Anolis sagrei: one gene and its partners. Each later gene encodes a partner of the first gene's protein in a complex. Links are inferred from orthologs where the notes say so. Each region holds a gene or a part of one and is shown on either strand. Other genes may lie near its edges.

What was found. Proteins that work in one complex are often made in the same cells at the same time.
Region 2: the proteins of ERBB2 (region 1) and PTPN18 are in contact, whole or in part, in a crystal structure (PDB 4NND), measured with the Homo sapiens proteins. The link is inferred for Anolis sagrei from reciprocal best matches to the Homo sapiens genes ERBB2 and PTPN18. Residues at the interface, in NP_004439.2 of Homo sapiens: Leu1109, Gln1110, Arg1111, Tyr1112, Ser1113, Glu1114; in NP_055184.2 of Homo sapiens: Arg61, Tyr62, Lys63, Asp64, Val65, Arg138, Asp197, Arg198, Ser230, Ala231, Gly232, Cys233, Gly234, Arg235, Arg268, Ala273, Gln276.
Region 3: the proteins of ERBB2 (region 1) and GRB7 are in contact, whole or in part, in an NMR structure (PDB 2L4K), measured with the Homo sapiens proteins. The link is inferred for Anolis sagrei from reciprocal best matches to the Homo sapiens genes ERBB2 and GRB7. Residues at the interface, in NP_004439.2 of Homo sapiens: Pro1135, Gln1136, Pro1137, Glu1138, Tyr1139, Val1140, Asn1141, Gln1142, Pro1143, Asp1144; in NP_001025173.1 of Homo sapiens: Ser437, Arg438, Glu439, Gln442, Arg458, Glu459, Ser460, Asn463, Gly466, Val468, Lys476, Lys478, His479, Tyr480, Leu481, Ile482, Tyr492, Phe493, Ser494, Met495.

The regions. Positions count from the first base shown.
Region 1 is NC_090026.1:42,798,719-42,806,508, forward strand, and holds the start of ERBB2 (receptor tyrosine-protein kinase erbB-2), read right to left. Parts: upstream 3,016-7,790; 5' UTR 2,763-3,015; coding exon 2,681-2,762; intron 1-2,680. UniProt on the Homo sapiens protein: Protein tyrosine kinase that is part of several cell surface receptor complexes, but that apparently needs a coreceptor for ligand binding. Essential component of a neuregulin-receptor complex, although neuregulins do not interact with it alone.
Region 2 is NC_090022.1:193,665,582-193,673,178, reverse strand, and holds the start of PTPN18 (tyrosine-protein phosphatase non-receptor type 18), read left to right. Parts: upstream 1-4,583; 5' UTR 4,584-4,658; coding exon 4,659-4,751; intron 4,752-7,597. UniProt on the Homo sapiens protein: Differentially dephosphorylate autophosphorylated tyrosine kinases which are known to be overexpressed in tumor tissues.
Region 3 is NC_090026.1:42,671,189-42,678,586, reverse strand, and holds the start of GRB7 (growth factor receptor-bound protein 7), read left to right. Parts: upstream 1-4,384; 5' UTR 4,385-4,568; coding exon 4,569-4,590; intron 4,591-7,398. UniProt on the Homo sapiens protein: Adapter protein that interacts with the cytoplasmic domain of numerous receptor kinases and modulates down-stream signaling. Promotes activation of down-stream protein kinases, including STAT3, AKT1, MAPK1 and/or MAPK3. Promotes activation of HRAS.

The sequences.
Region 1 (7,790 bases):
TTCTGTACCAAAATGCTGGTCCCTCCCCAAACTACAATTCCCAGCATTCCATAACATTGAGCAAATTCAATTACAGGAGTATCATAATTCATTAATTGGAACAGTATTGAAATTTTGCAAGGTGTTTAGTATTCTATACCAAAATGCTGGTCCAGCCCCAAACTACAATTCCCAGCATTCCATAACATTGAGCAAATGCAATTTACAGGAGTATCAAAATGCATTAATTGGTAAAGTATTGAAGTTTTACAAGGTCTTTAGCTTTCTGTACCAAAATGCTGGTCCCTCCCCAAACTACAATTCCCAGCATTCCATAACATTGCGCAAATTCAATTGCAGGAGTATCAAAATCCATTAATTGGGTCAGTATAAACCCTGAGCCTTTAGTGTTGCATGTAATGAACAAAGGGATAATGCATACATGGAGGTGAAGGTCATCATAAATAAATCAGAAAAGACTTGGAGGAACACACACTAAAGCATTCCATAGCAGTGAAAGTGGTGTCACACCACATGCCTTCTATAGTGTAGATGCAAACTTTTTCTTCAAAAGAAGGAGCACCCAACTCCTCCAGCTCAAGACAAACACAGTGCAAAGGCAGCCAAACCTATGAGTGTGAAACTTATCTCTGGAGTATGCTACTATCTCCACACGTCCCTAAACCGAAGCGAAACCAGATAAGGCTTGTTCCCTGTGGATTGCAGCAATACAGATTGTAAGGGCGGGGTTGGCCAAGGCAATTGATTGATTTATTGATTGGGGACCTTGCAAGAGCTTTCTTTCTAGGAAGGAGGCACACTATCTCCAACCAAAGGCATTCATTAACCAAGGCAGAGCCCAGCAGGGTTTTGTTTACTTCTGAACTGCAATCTCAGCCAATCCAATTGGAAAGTGATCTGAGACCCCATTTCTCAAGATTTCCAATCCCCCAGCGGATGGGAACCACTTGCACAACAGCTTTGCTTTCTCTCTCCTGACTCCTGGACTGTTTTGACATGCAGATAGGGAACAAATGTGCTTTGACACCACTTTAGCAACTAGGGCATAATGCAAGGGAATCCTAGGAAGTTGGGGAGTTTTGCAAGGTCTTGACCAGGCATTAGGAAACTTGGGGCCCTCCAGGTGCTTTGGACTTCAACTCCCACCATTCCTAACAGCCTCAGGCCCCTTCTCTTTCCCTCTCAGCCGCTTAAGCTACAAACTACGATTCCCAGCATTCCATAGCATTGAGTAAATGCAATTAAAGGAGTATCAAACTAGATTAATTGGGACAGTACTTAAACTACAAACTACAATTCCCAGAACTCCATAACATTGAGCAAATGCAATGAAAGGAGTATCAAACTAGATTAATTGGGACAGTACTGAAGTTTTACAAGGTCTTTAGCTTTGTGCTGGTCCCTCCCCAAACTACAATTCCCAGCACTCCATAACATTGAGCAAATGCAATTAAAGGAGTATCAAACTAGATCAATTGGGACAGTACTCCATAACATTGAGCAAATGCAATTAAAGGAGTATCAAACTAGATCAATTGGGACAGTACTGAAGTTTTACAAGATCTTTAGCTTTCTATACCAAAATGCTGGCCCCCTCCCCAAACTACAATTCCCAGCACTCCATAACATTGAGCAAATGCAATTAAAGGAGTATCAAATTAGATCAATTGGGACAGTACTTAAGCTACAAACTACAATTCCCAGCACTCCATAACATTGAGCAAATGCAATTAAAGGAGTATCAAACTAGATCAATTGGGACAGTACTTATGCTACAAACTACAATTCCCAGCACTCCATAACACTGAGCAAATGCAATTAAAGGAGTATCAAACTGCATTAATTGGGACAGTATTAAGGTTTTACATGATCTTTAGCTTTCTGTACCAAAGTGCTGGTCCCTCCCCAAACTACAATTCCCAGCACTCCATAACATTGAGCAAATGCAATTAATGGAGTATCAAACTGCATTAATTGGGACAGTATTAAGGTTTTACATGATCTTTAACTTTCTTTACTAAAGTGCTGGTCCCTCCCCAAACTACAATTCCCAGCACTCCATAACATTGGGCAAATGCAATTAAAGGAGTATCAAATTAGGAGTATCAAATTAGTACTTAAGCTACAAACTACAATTCCCAGCACTCCATAACATCGCGCAAATGCAATTAAAGGAGTATCAAACTGCATCAGTTGGGACCTTATTAAAGTTTTACAGGATCTTTAGCTTTCTGTACCAAAGTGCTGGTCCCTCCCCCAAACTACAATTCCCAGCACTCCATAACATTGAGCAAATGCAATTAAAAGAGTATCAAACTGCATTAATTGGGACAGTATTAAAGTTTTACAGGATCTTTAGCTTTGTGTACTAAAGTGCTGGTCCCTCCCCAAACTACAATTCCCAGCACTTCATAACACTGAGCAAATGCAATTAAAGGAGTATCAAACTGCATTAAGCGGCTGTGGGGGGAAAGGAAAGGGCCTGAGGCTGTGAGGAATGATGGGAGTTGAAGTCCAAAGCACCTGCAGGGCTCAAGTTTGCCCATACATGGTCTATATTGAACATACAATGCAATGTAGATCTAGCCAAATTGTCCCTGCCCTCTTTCCACAGTCCTCAAATCTCATTTTTTTGCTTGTGTCTGTTTGTAGGAACCCAAACAATGCAACTTGGACTTACCTTCGGTGGCCCAAACCCTGGGCAGAACCGATCCCAGGAGGAACCCCAAGCCAAGCCAACCGGGGCTGAGAAAGGGCCCCATTGTTTTGTCATGACCAAGCCCGGCTCATCCTTCCAAACTTGGCTGGAGGAGTTCCTTCTTCTTTTCCAAATCCTTTCCTCCGAATCCAGCCCGATCGGTTGGTTTGCCTTTGCAAGAGCTTGCTCGTCCCACTTTCCTTCCCGATCCCAACTTCACAACTCCGACTTTTTGCTTCCCACTTCCGCGAAGGGAAAGGAGAGAAAGAGAGAAGCCACCACCTTCTTTCTCCTCCAACCTTGAGCGTCGGGAACGCGCGCGGCGCGCCCCCGAGGAGGAATCCGGCTCACGCTGCAAAGCCATTCATTCCACTTTGGGACACACTTTGGAAGAGGCCAAGTTGAGCACTGCTTTCACTGCCACGACTCAGGACTCTTCCACACAGCCCTATATCCCAAGGCAAGAAATCCCACAATATCTGAGTGTGCAGGATCTATATCTCAGGATCTCATCCCAGGTTTTCTCTGGCAGTGTGGACTCATATAATCCAGTTTAAAGCAGAAAACCTGGGATCATATCCTGGAATATAGGGCCTGTCTGGAGGGACCCTCAGATAACTATAGGCCAGTGGTTCTCAACCTTCCTAATGCCATGACCCCTTAATCCACTTCCTCATGTTGTGGTGACCCCCAACCATAAAATTAGTTTCATTGCTACTTCATAGCTGTCATTTTGCTGCTGTTATGAATAGTAATGTAAATATCTGATATGCAGGATGTATTTTCATACACTGGACCAAACTTGGCACAAAGACCCAATATACCCAAATTTAAATACTGGTGGGATTGGAGGAGGGTATTGATTTTGCCCTGTGGGAGTTGTAGTTGCAGGGATTTCTAGTTCACCTACAATCAAAGAGCATTCTGAACTCCACCAATGATGGAATTGAACCTATCTTGGTACACAGAACACCCATGACCAAGAGAAAATACTAGAAGAGTTTGGTGGGAATTGAACCTTGAGTTTTGGGAGTTGTAGTTCATCTACATCCAGAGAGCACTGTGGATTCAAACAATGATGGATCTGGGCCAAACTTGGCACGAATTCTCAATATGCCCAAATGTAAACACTAGTGGGGTTTAGGGAAAATAGATTTATATAGTTCACGTATAATCAAAGAGCATTTTGAACCCTGCCAACGACTGAATTGGGCCAAACTTCCCACACAGAACCTCCATGGCCAACAGAAAATACTGTGTTTTCTTGTGGTCTTTGGTGACCCCTCTGACACCCCCTTGTGACCCCTCCAGGGGTCCCAACCCCCAGGTTGAGAAACACTGCTATAGGCCCTTCTGCACAACCTTATATCCCAGAACATCAAGGCAGGAAATCCCACATTATCTGACTGTGGACTCGGATAACCCAGTTATTGTGGGATTTTCTGCCTTTCTATTCTGGGATATAAAGATGTGAAAAAGGGCCCTTAGTTATCTGAGTTATGATCACAGGTTTCCTGTTTATCCCAGACTAGCCGTCCCCTGCCACGCGTTGCTGTGGCCCACATGGGGGTTCTGTGGGAGGTCTGGCCCAATTCTATCGTTGGTGGGGTTCAGAATGCTCTTTGATTGTAGGTGAACTATAAATCCCAGCAACTACAACTCCCGAATGTCAAGATTTTATTTACCCCAAACTCTACCAGAGTTCGCATTCGGACATATTGAGTGTTTGTATAGAGTTTGGTCCAGGTCCATCATTGTTTGAGTCCATAGTGATCTCTGGATGTAGGTGAACTACAACTCCAAAACCAAAGGGCACTGCCCACCAAACCTTTCCAGTATTTTCTGTTGGTCATGGGAGAACTGTGTGCCAAGTTTGGTTCAATTTCATCATTGGTGGGGTTCAGAATGCTCTTTAATTGTAGGTGAACTATCAATCCCAGCAACTACAGCTCCCAAATGACAAAATCATTTTTTTAGTGAAAGACATACATTGGGTTGTTAGGTGTCTTGTGTCCAAATTTGGTGTCAATTCATCCAGTGGTTTTTGAGTTCTGTTAATCCCACAAATGAACATTACATTTTTATTTATATAGATGTAATATTCCTAATAATATTACGATATAGTGGTATGGTGCAATATAGCAATGTTTAATGCTGATATTGTACTGTGCTAATAATATAATATATTGTATGTATATAATATATGCCTTGTAAGCCGCTCTGAGCCCCCTTCGGGGTGAGAAAGGCGGCATATAAAATTTGTAAATAAATAAATATGCTAACACAATTTTTGTTCCTAGGTTATAAATGTAATTTCCTATCATTGGTTCTATCATAAAAACATGGGGAAAGTTTATTAAGTCCTGCAGTACATTTTGCTATAATTTTTCAATGGTATTATATCTTGGTATTATACCTTCTAATATATCACGCCTGCTGGTACCAATATAATAAAATCAAAATCCCGCTGGACACCAGTTTAGAGGATCTTAATTGCTAATTAAGTTTCAACCAATTCAACATAGCTTGTGTCAGCCACAAAACACACATTTGGAGGAGGGCCAATGTGGTCCCAATCTTCAAGAAGGGAAAAAAGGATGACCCAAACAACTACCGTCCGGTCAGCCTCACGTTGATACCAGGCAAGATTCTGGAAAAGATTATTAAGGAAGTGGTCTGCAAACACTTAGAATCAAATGCGGTCATCGCTAATAGTCAACATGGATTTATCAAAAACAAGTCATGCCAGACTAATCTGATCTCTTTTTTCGATAGAGTTACAAGCTGGGTAGATGCGGGGAATGCCGTGGATGTAGCGTACCTGGATTTCAGTAAGGCCTTCGACAAGGTCCCCCATGACCTTCTGGCAAGGAAACTAGTCCAATGTGGGCTAGGCAAAACTACGGTGAGGTGGATCTGTAATTGGTTAAATGGGCGAACCCAGAGGGTGCTCACCAATTCTTCCTCTTCATCCTGGAAAGAAGTGACAAGTGGAGTGCCGCAGGGTTCCGTCCTAGGCCGGGTCCTGTTCAACATCTTTATTAATGACTTAGATGAAGGGCTAGAAGGCAGGATCATCAAGTTTGCAGACGACACCAAATTGGGAGGGATAGCCAATACTCCAGAGGACAGGAGCAGGATTCAAAACGATCTTGACAGATTAGAGAGATGGGCCAAAACTAACAAAATGAAGTTCAACAGGGGCAAATGCAAGATACTCCACTTAGGCAGAAAAAACGAAATGCAAAGATACAGAATGGGGGGTGCCTGGCTTGAGAGCAGTACGTGTGAAAAAGATCTTGGAGTCTTTGTGGACAATAAGTTAAATATGAGCCAACAATGTGATGTGGCGCAAAAAAAAGCCAATGGGATTTTGGCCTGCATCAATAGGAGCATAGTGTCTAGATCAGGGGTCCTCAAACTAAGGCCCGGGGGCCAGATACGGCCCTCAGAGGTTATTTACCCGGCCCTCGCTCAGGATCAAACTAAGTCTGAAATGACTTAAAAGCACACAACAACAACCACAACAGCAACAACCCTATTTCATCAGCCAAAAGCAGGCCCACACTTCCCATTGAAATACTAATAAATTTATATTTGCTAAAATTGTTATTTATTTTAATTATTGTATTGTTTTAAAGTGTTTTTTGCACTACAAATAAGATATATGCAGTATCCATAGGAATTCATTAATGTTTCTTCAAATTATAACTCGGCCCTCCAACAGTTTGAGGGACTGTGACCTGGCCCTCAGTTTAAAAAGTTTGAGGACCCCTGGTCTAGATCTAGGGAAGTCATGCTACCCCTCTATTCCGCTTTGGTTAGACCACACCTGGAATATTGTGTCCAATTCTGGGCACCACAATTCAAGAGAGATATTGACAAGCTGGAATGTGTCCAGAGGAGGGCGACTCAAATGATCAAGGGTCTGGAGAACAAGCCCTATGAGGAGCGGCTTAAGGAGCTGGGCATGTTTAGCCTGAAGAAGAGAAGGTTGAGAGGAGATATGATAGCCATGTATAAATATGTGAGAGGAAGCAACAGGGAGGAGGGAGCAAGCTTGTTTTCTGCTTCCTTGGAAACTAGGACGCGGAACAATGGCTTCAAACTACAAGAGAGGAGATTCCCTCTGAACAAGAGGAAGAACTTCCTGACTGTGAGGGCCGTTCAGCAGTGGAACTCTCTGCCCCGGAGTGTAGTGGAGGCTCCTTCTTTGGAAGCTTTTAAACAGAGGCTGGATGGCCATCTGTCAGGGGTGATTTGAATGCAATATTCCTGCTTCTTGGCAGGGGTTTGGACTGGATGGCCCACGAGGTCTCTTCCAACTCTTTGATTCTATGATTCTATGATTTCTGGAATATAACAACTACTTTCAAGGTAAATACCGCACAATTAAACAGGAAATAACACTTTCAAACCAGGAACAGAATTTTTTTCAAATTTTGTTACATAGTGTAATGAGAAATGAGGAAAACCACAATGAGGATGGATTGAGTCAATCACGGAAGCCAAATCCCTGAGTATGAGGAACCTGAGCAGGGCTATAGGTCACTGAACTCATTGACATCCTGCATCCATAAGGTCAGTATAAGTTGAATCTGACTTGACAATAACTTCGGCTTCAGTTGATTCACTGCTTAAACAAATGTTTCATCTTGGTTACTTCAATCAAGTGGATATACTTGAACATTGCCAAAACATGGGCGTAAGTGGTTTTCCGAGGAACTGAAAGAAGTGGGGAAACATTACTGTTTAGTCAACAAATGTTACCATAGTACTTGTTCGGAACAGGGGTGGAAACATACCAGGTTTCAAGCAGCTGAAACACAAAACATGCCGTTAGCTTTCTTTTCTCTTTATTGGTTTTTATTCAGAATATAATACAATACAGAAAAACATTTCTTCATAATAGATATAAAACTATTACAACATAAATAATTCCAGCACTAATAAAAACATATTGAACACACAACTACTATGACTATTCTATGAAACACACACTCATTGTCAGTTGATTTTTACTCGTTTTCCAACTTTTTTTAGATAACACTATATCAATGTTTCTCAACCTTCCTACTGCCGCAATCCCATA
Region 2 (7,597 bases), on another chromosome or scaffold:
GGCTAACAGCGGGAGCTCACGCTGCTCCCCGGATTCAAACCTGCAACCTTTTGGTCAGCAAGTTCAGCAACTCAGTGGTTTAATCCACTGCGCCACCAGGGATTCTAAGGGACTGGTAGGTATCCCTTATTATAAAAGATGTCTCCTATTAGAAGACTGGAAACCTTTCCGTTATATAGACTGGACAAGATGTCAACAACTATACATTTTGGAGTGTAGGCCCTTCATAACAGCAAAAATATGTGCACCAAGTAATTTAAGAACGTGGACAATACGTTGATTTTACAGAGAAAACCTAACTCGGTCAACTTAAATCTATACTTTCATTTGATAGTTAGGTAGAGTCCCAACTTGTTAATAGCTAGTTCTTAGTTCTCAGCTCTGCATGTTATGAATTTTGATGGTCTCTTATTGCTATTTTGGGAACTTGCCAAGACTTAAACCAGACATGGCAGAGTCAGGATGGGCTAGTCTGGTTCCCGAGCTCATTTAAAAAACTGCTGTGTGGCCCTCGTGCCAAGTTCTTCAACCACTGAGCAAGGCATTCCTGAGATGAAAGGGTTTTTAAATCATTTGAAGACAAGATGGACCTGGTGCCAAAGCTATAAGTGGACATTCAGCAGGGAGTGAGGAAAGGAAGGGATCAGGAGATGATTGGAAGTATATAGGTATGGGAAAATATTTGTGCTTTTCACCTACATAGTATGGGGAACCAGTGAACACAGGGGTAAATAATAGTCACAAGTATTCCCTATTTTTTAAAAAAGGTCAAATGCTGCTAGTTTTCTTATGCCAGTCATTTTTTCAATAGCAGAAACTGGTACTACAACATTTTTTTGCAAGGTTCAACAAAAACAAAACTTTTTCCATACGAAAAACTTCACAAAACCTTCAACATTAATCCTGAAATATGAAAAAAAATTCTCCCAAAATTTAAAAAAGGCTTGTAATGTCATTTAGGAAGTAGATAAGTGTTGAGTTGTTTCATATGTAAGATTCTTCCTCAAGGTAACTAAGGGTCAACAACTGAGTAATTGCTCTTATGGCTGATTTGGTGCCTACTAGTACCAACAGTTTCAGGAGAGATAATTGTATTCAGAATAGGTGGAAAGTAAACATGATTTGCTCTACTCGATGTCTCCATTTTATTGCTTTTTCCCAACTTGACAATAACTAATAATTCAACTTCTTGGTAAACACATTGATTTCATGGGTCTGCTTTAGCTAGGAGAAACAACAGGACTCTTGAGTTATGCGTGCAGCCATTTGAAGAAAAGAGCTCAAATGAAACAGGACAAGATGTTTCAGAGTGAAAACATGAACACAAGAGCCAAAGCAGCCTTGCTGTTCTGAAAATAGTTTGTTGTATTTGAGAATTTTTGCACTTCAGGTTTATTTCAGAAGGTTAATGGGGTTCAGGAAGAAAGTGCAACCTCAGATGGGAAATTGTGCAAGGAGGAGGTATGTCCCTCTGTGTTTGGAAATGTGGGGAAAGTTTCAGTTTAGAACGTGTGGCTTTTTTATGCAAAACTTTGCATTTATCTTCACGGGCATTTCAGGTTCTCAGAAAGTTTACTTTTTTGGAATACGGGTCCTCAAATCCCCTAATCAACCTGGGCAGTGGCTACAGTGGCTGCAAGATACTAGGCAAAATAGCCCACAAAAGTTATTCTGACTCTGGCCATGTTCCAGAAGCATTCTCTCCTGACATTCCACCCACATCTATGGCAGGCATTCTCAGAGGTTGTGAGGTCTGACTCTTCTTGGTGAGATTCCTTCCTCATTCTGTGACTTGAAGAAGTGGCAGCACCAACAATGTAGCATGCAGTTTGAGATGTTATGTCCCACAAATGCCAGCAAAAGGCAGGGCTATTTTAATCATTTATTTCTTTATTCACAGTATTTATATTCCACCTTTCTCACTCTGAAGGGGACTCAGAGTGGATCACAGAACACATATATACGGCAAACATCTAATGCCTTTATACACTGACAAGACAGACAACTGTTCATAGGCAGAGATATATTTCGGCTTTACCATCTTCGGCATCTTGGAGGCTGTGCTCAGTTCTGGTCACAAAGGGGTGCTGTCGCTCCACCTTCCCTGCCAAAGAGCTTTGTTTGTAAACTTCCTCCTTGATTGAAACTCAAGTGTTTTTCTGGCATTTCCTTGTGGATGCCTTAAACGCCCCCCTGCTTAAGCGGTACCTATTGATCTATTGTTTTTGAAACTGCTAGGTAGGCAGAAATTGGGCTAAAGGCCAGGAGCTCACACTGACCCGGGTTTCGAGTTGTCAGCCTTTCAGTTGGCAAGATTTACTGCAGCTGGCAGTTACCCTGCTGTGCAAAACAGCCCCGCCCCCAGTTATCCCTTTAATTTAATAGTACTTAAAATAGTACTATTAAAAGTATAAAATATTTGGGACTGTCTCTGAAATCATTTCCTTGTTAGTAAGCCTCTATAAGCCAAGAAGATTTATTATTACTTACACTTTTCTCTAATGAGGAAAAGACTACAAATAGGATTCTTTTCCTCTCTTCTGTGAGGTAGAACAGAGTAAATGTGCGTGTGACCAGCCCCAAGTCACCAAATGAATTTCATGACCGAGTCCCAGTTCACGGGCCCTTTCATACAACACTATTTCATATAACACCAGTGGTCCACCTGGTATTACAGTGCTATAACAATGTAATCTGGAGTTCTGTGGTTGAAGATTTATCTACTAGAGAATTTTTCTGGTGTCTCAGATCAAACTACAAATCCCAGAATTTAGTAGGAGGGAACTATAGTATTTTACAGTAAGGTAGTAGTGCTTCATAGTCTGATTCCCATATCTGCAGGACTTGAAGTGAATCTACAGATAATAGCAAACCCTAGAATATTATAAAACCCCAATGGAGAATCTAAAAAGTTTGCTTGTCCGAACATATCTCCCACTACGATCCACCTAGGGCCCTAAGATCATCTGGGGAGACCCTGATCGTTGTTCCCCCATTGTCACAATCGCGTCTGGCGGGGATAAGGGACAGGGCCTTTTCTGTGCCCCCCCCCCCCCGGCTATGGAACTCCCTCCCGAGTGAAATTAGATCCACTGCATCCCTCTTGAACTTCTGGAAACAAGTAAAATCCTGGCTATGGGATCAGACCTTTGTAGATTAGGCTGACTTGCTGGCATGTTGACTTATATAGAACTGATGGACTGCCCCTTGGATGATGATTTAAACTGGTGACCGCTGACTGACTGATAGATTGTTTTTATACTGTTTTTATACTGTTTTATATTGTTTAAACTGTTTGTACTATTTTATATTGTTACTAGCTGTACCCTCCACGCGTTGCTGTGGCCAACTTCCTTCCTTCTCTATCTCTTCCCTTCCTTCCCTTATTTTCTTTCTCTTCTGCTGTCTCTATTGTCTTCCTTCTCTCTTTCCTTCTTTCCTTCCCTCCCTCTTTCTCTACATCTTTCCCCCTTCCTTCGTTCCCTCTTTCCTTCCCTCTTTACCTTTTTTCTTTCCTTCTCTCCTTCCTTCTCTAACTTTCCTTCCAATCCCCTTTTTCTTTCCCTCCTTCTTTCTCTTCTTTCCTTCTTCTCTACTTCCTTCCTTCCTTCCTTCTCCCTTTGCTTCCATGCTTCCTTCTCCCTTTCCTTCTTTCTTTCCCTCCCTCTTTCTTTTCTTTCCTTCTTTTTCTTTGTCTCTCTCCTTCCCTACCTCTTTCTTCCCTTTTTTCTGTATTGTCATTTAGCTTTTCCTCATTTAGCCTTTTGGGGCTTTTTAAGTCCCTTCTGCTGTGTTTTTCTGTGTTTTAATGAGTGAAGGACATACATTGGGTTGTTAGGTGTATTGTGTCCAAATTTGGTGTCAATTCATCCAATGGTTTTTGAGTTCTGTTAATCCCACAAACAAACAATACATTTTTATTTATATAGATTTTATTTATATTGCCGTCAAATCATGTATCTATGTTTTTGATGTGGGTGCCATGGGGTGCCGATTTGTTAGCCGTCCTGAGTCCCTCTGCGGAAGTTGAGATAGGACGGGATATAAAAGCCTGAAATAAATAAATAAATAAATAAATAAATAAATAAATAATAAAAAGGGCAAAGTTTGTTGGAGGCAAATAAATGAAACTACAGACACTGGTTCCACCGATTCTAGGCTACTACTGTAACTGTGTAGCGTGGTAAGGCCAAAAGGTGATTCTAAGTCACATCACACTACACTTTACAGCCGGATGCTCCAAACAACACTTGTGGGGCTCAGGTACTGAGCTGCATTTTCCTCTTTCTAAGGTGCTCTTGCAAAACCTTGAATGATGCAAAATATCAATCTCTCATACATGTGTGTGAGAGAAAGAGAGATCAGAATGGGTTTCTTGTGGTGAGTTTTACCTCTTCCTTCTCATGCGCTCTTCCTTCTCATGCGCTGAGGTCACACCCCGAGATCACCGTGCGCAGAAACACCACATTCCCTTTCCCAGGAGAGGGCAAAGTGCCAGACAGGTCTGGGCCCATCCCACAAACCACAGTGGAGAGAGAGAGAGAGAGAGAGAGAGAGAGAGAGAGAGGCGTTGCACAAAAGGACCTGAACTTCCTCCTCACATTGCATTGCCTTCAGTGGTAACTCTGCATCGGTCTCTCTCTCTCCTGAGCAGAGAGATGAGTCGCTGTGCAGAGCACCTGAAGGGCTTCCTGGCCCGAGTGGAGGCTAAAGCCGGGCAGGAGAAAGGGCAGCTGGCCGAGGAATTCCAGGTGAGTCTCATGGTGGAGAGGGAAGCAAGCCCTTCATCCTCACTTCTTCTCCATGCTCCTAGTGTCTACACTGCTGGCCACAATATGGAATATTCCTTAATGATGCCATGGGCAGGCTGACTGAGAGCACATACAGACTGACAGAAAAATTCCCATATTATGTCTCTATTTCTTCTGATTTTATACTGAGTTAAAATAAACTGAACTTGGAAGCTGGCATGAAAAGTCTCAGACTGGATCCACACTGCCCTAGAAGCCAGGATCTGCTTTAAACTGAATTATAGGAGTCTACACTGCCAGATAATCTGATAAGCGAATAATCTGGGATCAGATCCTGGGATATAGAGTAGTGTGGAAGGGTCCACTTATTATATCAGAAGCTGACAGCAAATATTGTGGAATTAATAAATGTATGGATCTCACACAGCCACATAATCCAGAATATCAATGCTGAAAATCCCACAATATCTGCTCTAAACACCACCATTTATTCCAATTCAAAGCAGATACTGTAGGTTTTTATTCAGTTGTGTGGAAGGGGCCTAAAACAATATCAGAAAGAACAGGAACAAAATATTGGATCTTTTTTTCCATCAGCCCAGATGAATCTGGACAAAACCAGAAAGTCCCAGATTTTGTTCTGCCCCCCCCCCTCATTTTATTTAGGATATTTTCTATTGACTTCTGGTATTTAAAGATCATCCGGGGAGGCCTTGCTCTCACTCCCGTCAACAGCACAAATGCGTCTGGCAGGGACGAGAGACAGGGCCTTCTTGGCTGTGGCCCCCTACCTATGGAACACACTCCCAAATGTGGTGAGATCCGCTCCCTCCCTCCTGGCATTTAGAAAAAAAATAAAATCTTGGACGAGGCCTTCGGACAGTAGATGTATGTAGCATTTTAGAGGGACACTGACTGGAACAGCGATTCAACTGACGAGACTGTGTTATTGTTTTGATGCTTGTTGATGTATTGTTTTAATTGTGATTTATGTTTAATTGTGGTTTTACTATTGTAATTGTTAGTATTGGCATCGTATTGGTGCCCAACGTAAGGCATTGAATCTTGCCATTATTTATGTGTAAACCACTTTGAGTCCCCCCAGGGATGAGAAAGGCAGTATGTAAATACTGTAAATAAATAGATAGATAGATAGATAGATAGATAGATAGATAGATAGATAGATAGATAAAGTGGATATAAGTGATTTTAATATTTCCATATGTTTATGGTTTTATGTCCCGGCATTGATTGTTTACCATATATACTGTATGTTGTGCTCCGCCCTGAGTTCCCTGTTGGGTGAGAAGGGCGGAATATAAATCTTTAAAATAAATAAATAATAAATAAATATGATCATAGACTTTTGATACTAGTTTCCCAGATCTGTTTCTCTTAGCGCAGTATAAAATCGGAGAGAACGGGAACAAAACCTGAGCTGGCAACAAAGTTCCCTGTATTCTTCCTGCCAGGTTTTGCATACTTGTACACAATAGACAAAAATCCAACCCGTGTAGGGGGTTCCTGCTTCCGCATCTCTCTTCCAAGAACAAGTTAAATTTCTGTTGAATTTCTGTCTGACTTAGCAAGGACCATGGCCAGGGGGGAAACAGGGTTGCTCACTCACCTGGTCAGTACCTGTACAGAATTGGCCTGCTTTAAACACCTCCAAAAAGTAATTCTTTGGCTCATGTTTTGCTGCCGTGGACTCCAGTTGAGACATAGGTGTGTACTGCGGTGGCCCATCTTGCTTTTCATTCAATCACTCTTGAATTATGCCCCTTCTCCTGCTAATGTCAATATATGTAAAATACATTACATGCATGAGAAAGAATAAAGAGGGCCAGCATGCTGCAGTTGCTAGACACCATGAAACAGGTCCTCAACCACCTCCTAGTAACTGTGGGCTCTCATATTTCCATTGTTGACAATGTAAAGTGATCTGTCTCAGGCTAAAACAATGTCAGTAGCAGAGATGGGACTTTCCAGATTGGCTTCCATATTTCACCTACAGGCCAGTGGTTCTCAACCTGTGGGTCCCCAGATGTTTTGGCCTACAACTCCCAGAAACCCTAGCCAGTTTACCAGCTGTTTGGACTTCTGAGAGTTGAAGGCCAAAACATCTGGGGACTCACAGGTTGAGAACCACTGACCTATATGAAAAGCCCGCATGACAATTTGTGCTTGTTCTGTTATGGCGAGGATGCAGCAGGAACTTCCTTGCGAATGCCTTCTGAGAGAACTCTGAGGAAAAATACAAACTACTGAGCTCTGAATCAGGAGATTCAAGTGTCACTTTCACCATCTTCATGAATATATTAGGTGACCTTACATTAGAGTTAATTTTTTCACATCCTCCATAAGGGATAATAGTACTGGCTTAATTGAGAGCAAGAAGCCCCTGGTGGCTCAATGGGTTAAACCCTTGTGCCAGCAGGATTGCTAACCGACAGGTCAGCAGTTCGAATCTCAGGAGAGTGGATTAAGCTCCCTCTGTCAGCTCCAGCTTGTCCGAACGCTTTTGCCCCTACGTCCCACCTCGCAATTTAAGATCATCCAGGGACACCCTGCTCTCACTCCTGTCAACAGTGCAAATGCGGCTGGCAGGGATGAGGAGCAGGGCCTTCTCGGCTGTGGCCCCCCGCCTATGAAACACACTCCCAAAGGAGGTAAGATCTGCTCCCTCGCTCCTGACCTTTAGAAAAAAATTTAAATCATGGTTCTGGGACCAGGCCTTCGGACAATAGATATATGCAGCTTTTCGTGGGACAAGGACTAGAACAGTGACTCAACTGATGAGATTGTTTTATGGTTTTAATAGCTGTTTTGATATTTGGTGATGTACT
Region 3 (7,398 bases), about 130 kb from region 1:
GAAAGGTACAAACTGACTAGAAATAATTCCACCTAAATTCAATACGTCTTAATGTCTCGTTGAAGACTTTCATGTCTGGAATCACTGGAGTGTGGTGCAGTTTCCGGGCTGAATGGCTGTGTTCTAGCAGCATTTTCTCCTGACTTTTTGCCTGCGCCTGTGGCTGGCATCCTCAGAGGATCTAGAACATACAGCCCAGAAACCACACAACACTTCAGTATATCTTATTTCTGAGTATGCAAGATTGTACTAAAACTGGAGAGTTTTAACCTCTTAATGTATATATGTTATAAATAACTTTTCAATAACTTTAAAGTATATGTTCTTATGTACTTATGATGTTGTTGCTTGTTGCTTATGTTTTGGTTTTATTTTGCTGTAATATGTTGTCTGGGCTTGGCCTCATGTAAGCCGCCCCGAGTCCCTGTCGGGGAGATGGTGGCAGAGTATAAATAAAGTTTATTTATTCTTTTTATTGCGATTTTCCAGTATGAGAAAGGATATCAGAACTTTTAAATTTTTACAGAACAACATTTGACATGCAGGCATGCAGTTTTAATGCAACTACATTGAATGCACAAACAACCTACACTGGCTAACAAACAAACAAAGGGGAATTACATTTTTACTCAGCATTTTATTTATTTATTTATTTACTTTGCTTATATACCGCTGTTCTCAGCCCAGGGGCATTCACATTACCCATATATTCATCTTCATGCATACATTCCTCCGTCATCTCCTGGAGAAGAACATATCTTAAGTCAGATTCCCAATATTTCAAAAACCTCTAAAACTTCTAAAATTCTAAAATGCATCCTCTTTCCCTAAAAACAATGCCAAGGATCAGATCCCTGTTTTCCATATAGCAGAAACTGACTCCCTGCACAAAATCCAAAACTCCAAAATTACACTCCTTTCTCTTCCCTTGAGAAAAGGAGGCAAGTGACCAAACTGCGTTCCATTGCAGATCTGTCACTCCCAAATACATACACCATCTCTCTCTTTCCCAAGGAGCAGAGCATTGGGGGGGGGGGGGGGGGGGGTTGGTTTAACAGCCACTGTCTATCACTATTTTTGAATTTTAATAAGGTCTCTTGTATAACAATTTTCTGCTGATGTTGTTCCAAAGTTGTAAATAAATGATAGATATTTTTCCAGTTGGAAACATCCTGGCTTCATCGCTTCCTGGACAGATGTTGACTCTTCTTAATTGGTGTTGGTAAATGCAAGGCTTGTGTTGAGTTCCTTCTGAACATAAGGAATCTTGTAAGAATTTCCTTAACTTAAAGAGGTATTGTCTCTTATCAATGTAAACATGTTGTTTTCCCCCAAAAGTTCAACAGTTAATCATTGTCACTGGTTATTAATGTCAGCAGTTTGGCAATCTTTAATTAAAGTCCCCGAGTGTATCTGTCCTCCAGGCCTTAGTGTTCAGAATGGTGTCTCCAAAATTATTAGCTCTCATTCATTCATCTTTCATACAATTCCATTCAATTGTACATCATATATTTCATGACACATAGGGCTGGTGTGCCGAAAAGATACATAATATATAGTATATAGATCAGGGGTCCTCAACCTAAGGCCCGGGGGCCAGATATGACCCTCCAAGGTCATTTACCCAGCCCTCACTCAGGATCAACCTAAGCCTGAAACGACTTGAAAGCACACAACAACAACAACCCTATCTCATCAGCCAAAAGCAGGCCCACATTTCCCACTGAAATACTAATAAGTTTATATTTGTTAACATTGTTATTCATTTTAGTTATTGGTATTGTTTTAAATGTTTTTGCACTACAAATAAGATATGTGGAGTTTGCATAGGAATTAATTCATTTTTCCCCAAATTATAATCCAGCCCTCCAACAATTTGAGGGACTGTGACCTGGCCCTCTGTTTAAAAAGTTTGAGGACCCCTGATATAGATTTTCCTCTATATTGACTCATAGTAATGCATAGTAAGACATTATGTATGTGTGTAGCATGAATGCATTGCATGAATGTAACAAAAAAACAACCTCTGAGTCTATGAGAAAACAGTAAATCGTATATTTTTAAGAATATAAATGAAAGGTTTATATTACTATGTTGCAAAATGATGCAGGTCTAAAAAGTGTGTCACCCACACATGCAATGTTTGGAAAGCTCTGATCTAAGTACTTAAATTCTCTGCTAGAGAGCATGAAATGTTTGGATTACTCTACCATAAACCAACACAAGTTATTTGTGGCAAGAAAGAGTTCAGAGCATTTTGGATGTTCTGTAGTTAATAAATGGAAACAATGTAATACAATTATGTAAACTATAAATGTAACCATCTCAAATAACATATACTGTAGAATAAATCAGAGTGCTAAATAAGGAAAATAAGGCTCATCCGAAAAGAAGCAAATTCCTGGAAATATTGAGGCCTCCTGATTCTTTTTGTTTTGATTTTACCTGCTAGTTCCCTGGTTTCTTCCAGACTCTTTCTTGACATCGTCCAGGTTTTCTGGTGGTTTCCATTTTGAAGGCCAAATTTATAAATCAGTGCTTTTTGGAGTTCATGCCCTTCAAATACGATGTTTAGCCTCACAACTCTGTGTGTTTTATGAGTTCCATATAAATGCTCCGCCCCTATTTTATCTCATTATAGTTTAACTGTTTTTATCCTGAATATGTGGCTCACCCATTTTCATCCTTACTGTGATTGTGTTTATCTTATGATTTTTTTTCTTTTAATGTTATTTTGATGATGTTGTTGTTGTTTGCTGTATATGTTTTGATTTTACTGCTGTATTATGTTGTCCAGGCTTGGCCCCATGTAAGCCGCTCCGAGTCCCCATTGGGGAGATGGTGGCGGAGTAGAAATAAAGATTATTATTATTATTATTATTATTAAACATGCAGAAGAAGAGTTGGTTGAGGCATGCTTATCTACTCTCATAATTTCTCTCTATTTTGCTATTTTTAGTAAGTCAGTAAGGGATTCTGGAGGAATTTGCTGTATACCTTGTAACACACAGTTACAGTAGGATTGGTTGGAATAGAATCACATTCTTTCCTAATTCAAAGTTTATTGCCTTTGCTTTATTGCAGGATGTTGGACTGGATGACCCATGTGATCTCTTCCAACTCTATGGTTCTATGCATTGTTTACTACAGAGACACTTCTGCACCACAACTGCAATTCTTCCATTCATCATTAATGCTGCTAAAATCCTCACAGATTCAACGAAGATCAAGTAGGAAAAGAGGAGAAAAAGACATAAAAAGGCTTTGTAAAATGGAACTTCATTGTCAGAGGCTTTGTTAAATGTCTGTATTTTAGCCTGTTCTCCTTTGCAAAATTTCTAATTGCAACCTTTGTTTTTGTATTTTTAGTGCATGGATGCCTAAGGTAGGTCCCTTGTAACCCATGACAGTATGGATGTGAAAATGCTTATTCTGGCTGACTGAAGCCACTAGGTGCAGCTCTTCTGTGAAGGGCACGATATTTGACAAAGTCAGGGAAGCCATTTTGTAATTCCAAGGCTAAATATTGATTTTAACTTCTCACCAGCTGCCATGTTGTGACCGGATACCTGGAGGCAAATGCTTGTGTTGCCTTGAGGATTATTCATCGCTTCAAGCTCTCCTTTCGCTGCACAAAAGCTGTGAGTGAGATGCAGTCACGTTTCTTGTAAGGACTATAATAAAAAGTGCTTCCCCGGATACGACTGGCATGAATTCCCCTTGTTAAAAGTTTATCAGCCTGGGTTGAGTAAAAGATGGGAGGGAATGGTTAACCCTTCCCCTTACCACAACAAATAAAGTTTGTTTGGACAGATACCCCATATACATACGTGACCTCAGGTGACTTTCAGTATGCCTTTACAGCAGCTGAATTTTACATGAAGAGCTTGAAAGCTCGGCTTGGTAAGGAGGCCGCCTCTCCCTCCCTTTTTTGGGGCTATAGTCTGTAGTTGGCCTGACATGGCCCTGCCTGTCTCCATCTCTTATGTGGACAAAAATAGCTTGGCACCCTCTGCATTTTGAGCCGCTCAGTGTCTCCAGATGACTTCTGTTCCATAAGAAGAATGACCCAGACAGATTTGACCTGCATGCAGTGGAGCAGCCGTGGCCACCTTCTTCATGATGGTCCTTCAGATTAATTAAGCATCTTGGGGACTGAGAGCAAGGGATGAGAAGGGAGGGGGCTGTCAGAAGATGGGAAGGGTACAGAGTGAGCCATGCCGGATGGATCCTCCGTAGTCGTCACTATTTGAAGCATCCAGTCCTGTCATCTTAGCTGAGTGTGAAGCATATGGGACTTCAGCAGCCAGGGGAAGGGAGGGGTTTGGAGGCGTGGAAAGAACCCTTTGCGCAGTTACAGGCAGAATCTCTTTGGAGTAAAGTGGAGAAGACGGTGTCGGCGTCCTGGCTTTGGCCAGCGGGGCCACTCAGTTCAAGAAGGTGCGCAGCATACAAGAGACCCAGAATTTGCACCAAAGGAGAGCTGTAGGGGTGGTCTTCTGTTGTGTCTGGAACACCACAGTCACCCCACCCCACCTGCAAAGCATCCACCAGCCCTGGGCAAAGGAATGTGTTGCTGTCCTCTACAAGGTAACCACTCATCTCGGGGGGTTGTGGTCATGGAGGTCATGAAGTGTGAAGACCAGGCATGAGAGTCATCATTATTCATTTGGAAGCTAAGCCTCTTAGTTGGTGGGTAGGTGTGGTTTGAGACTCCTTAAAGAGTAAAGCAAATGGATTCATATCTTCTCCAGGATGGAATATTCCCATCTCCTGGTAGTAGAAAAAAACCCATTAAGGGTCAAGCCTGCTTTCAACTTCTTTTGTATGTGGTATTTGTAAATACTCAACGGTGAGGATAAGAACTTCATATCTGTTTTGTGATACCATTGTAATTGTTTCTCTGGAACACAGAGGTAATTCTACTTGTAAATTGTCATTTTGTAGTTGTGAGACAACACAACTGTGCCTTTGCATGTAATGAGGTTAGATACTTGCACCTACATTTGAGGCTGTGCCAATATACTGTTGAGAGCATTAATAGTTATGCATCCACATGTATGTCCAGGACAAGAAAGAGTAATCAAAATTCAATGGCAAAGAGAAGATTTGTGCAATCTTTTGATGCTAGATTGTATGACATGGTCTGAAGCAGTCTAGTCCATTGATGTGTGTGTGTGTCTGCACTGGTACACTTGTGTCCACATAAGCAAACACAGAGCATCATAGAATCATGTTTGTATATGTTCATGGTTCTAATACGGAATATGGGTACAGTTACCCATCTGTGTTTCGGTGAATACATGCTCATCTATGTTCTTTCCCTATTTGCTTATATGTTAGCATTTACAGATACTACCTTGAAAGAGAATTAAAAAGTAGTTGAAGGTGAGTTGTTTTCTTCCTGTGTTGTGCAGATGGGTGTCTCTTCGGCTTTTGTTCCTCATTAAAGGGGTTTTCAAAGGCCAATAGAACCAAACCTATTTCTTGAAACAACAATAGAATAGAATGGCTGCGTATGACTAGGTATTAATCACTCTTTCAATCCACCTTAAACAATTTAAGGAGGGTAGAAGTTGCCAGTTCTACCCTCCAATGCTTTGTCCTCAAAATTTACTGCTCAAACCATATGATATACCTGAAGTCAAATTTTACTGGACTTTTTTGGCCTATTATTGTTCCAAGACTCATATTTATAGTTGGGGCAAGGAGACACATGCTTGATATGCTATAGTCACATCAACACTATGCACCAGTGATTTGCAAAATCTAGTCCTCCAGGTATTATGAACTTCAACTCCCAGGAGCCTCAAGTGTCTTGATCGGTTAGTGAGGATTCTGAGAGCCGAATCCAAAATACTTGGAAAACCAGAGTTTGGAAACACCACTGTTGTAAGACTGACCAGGCTGCAGCTAATGGTCGTAAGAGCTGTTTAAAGTTGGATTCATAACTGGATTTGACCTGCCACAGCTCTTGTTAGATAAACAACCAACAATATATAGCTGTGAGACTGTTATTTACACACACACACACACACACAGAATACAGTCTCACAGCTATATATATCTATAATTGTTTCTCAGTTCTGGGTTGTTTGAGCAATATTCTGTATCGGATGAAAAAAAATCAAATCTGTCTCTCTTCATATGAAGACAGGGGTCCTCAAACTGTTCAGAGGGCCAGGCGACAATCCCTAAAACTGTTGGAGGGCTGGATTATAATTGGGAAAAAATCATGAATTAATTCCTATGCACACTCCACATATCTTATTTGTAGTCAAAACGCACTTTAAAACAATACAATAATTAAAATTAAGAATAATTTTAACAAATATAAAATTAGCATTTCAATGGGAGGTATGGGCTTGCTTTTAGCTGATCAGATAGGATTGTCGTTGTTGTTGTTGTTGTTGTTGTTGTTGTTGTTGTGTGCTGTCAAGTCATTTCAGACTTAGGTTGACCCAGGGCCTTAGTTTGGGGACCCCTGTCTAAGAACATAGCATTCTAGATATTTGTAAAAGGTAGCAAAGTATTGGGATAGAGCTTAAGGAAACTCAAAGGAAAGGCCTGAGAGAGTTGAATTTGAGGCAGCTTAAAATGTTGTTTACTTCTTTGGCAGTCTGATGTGAGCAGAGGATTTTGAGCGGGAATGTTGAAGCCATGTCCCCATCTCTGCTCAACCTGTGTATAAATGGAGGGCTGAGAGATTATTGATAAAGTACAATAAAAAGTAAACAAATAACCAGTAACCAATAAACCCCTGGTGAACGTCTTTCAAAGGAACTAAAAGCAAGAAAGCATTGTATACGTGGAAATTCTCACTGTTCAAAGAAATCTGGTGACCATAAGAATAGGTCTTGCGTCAGACACTGTTTTTATTATATTTGCTCAGCCATTGTTTTAACATCTTTTTATTGTGAGCAGCTCTAGGAGAGTTTGCTTAAAAGGCAGGTTAAAAAGATTGACTGATTAAATGTTCAAACATTACAACATTTTTTGCATTATACAGAAAAGGCATCCTAGGGCCCTGGCAGGCTTTGGAAAAGAAAAAGTTTGCTTCTTGAGTTTTGTTTTGTTTCTGTTTTTGCCAAGGTCTTGGATTACTGCTGATTTCAAACTCCCATCGGCAAGGATGAGACAGCAATTCAACACTCTGCCAAGGCTGTTGCAGCTGTCCAGCCCTCATAACCCTCACTGGTTTTATACGTCAGCTTTCATGCAATGAGACACCTCCCTCCCTGCTCTTCTTTTGAGGAAAAGCTTCTCAAAGTTAGTGTTTGCACCCAGCACTGTATTCCAACCAAGTCACTTTGCCCCAGAAGCAAATCCCTTCCCTAGTTAGCCTTTATCCTTTCACATTTTGGTTGCTCTGTCATGTTCCCATGGTATTTACTTCTA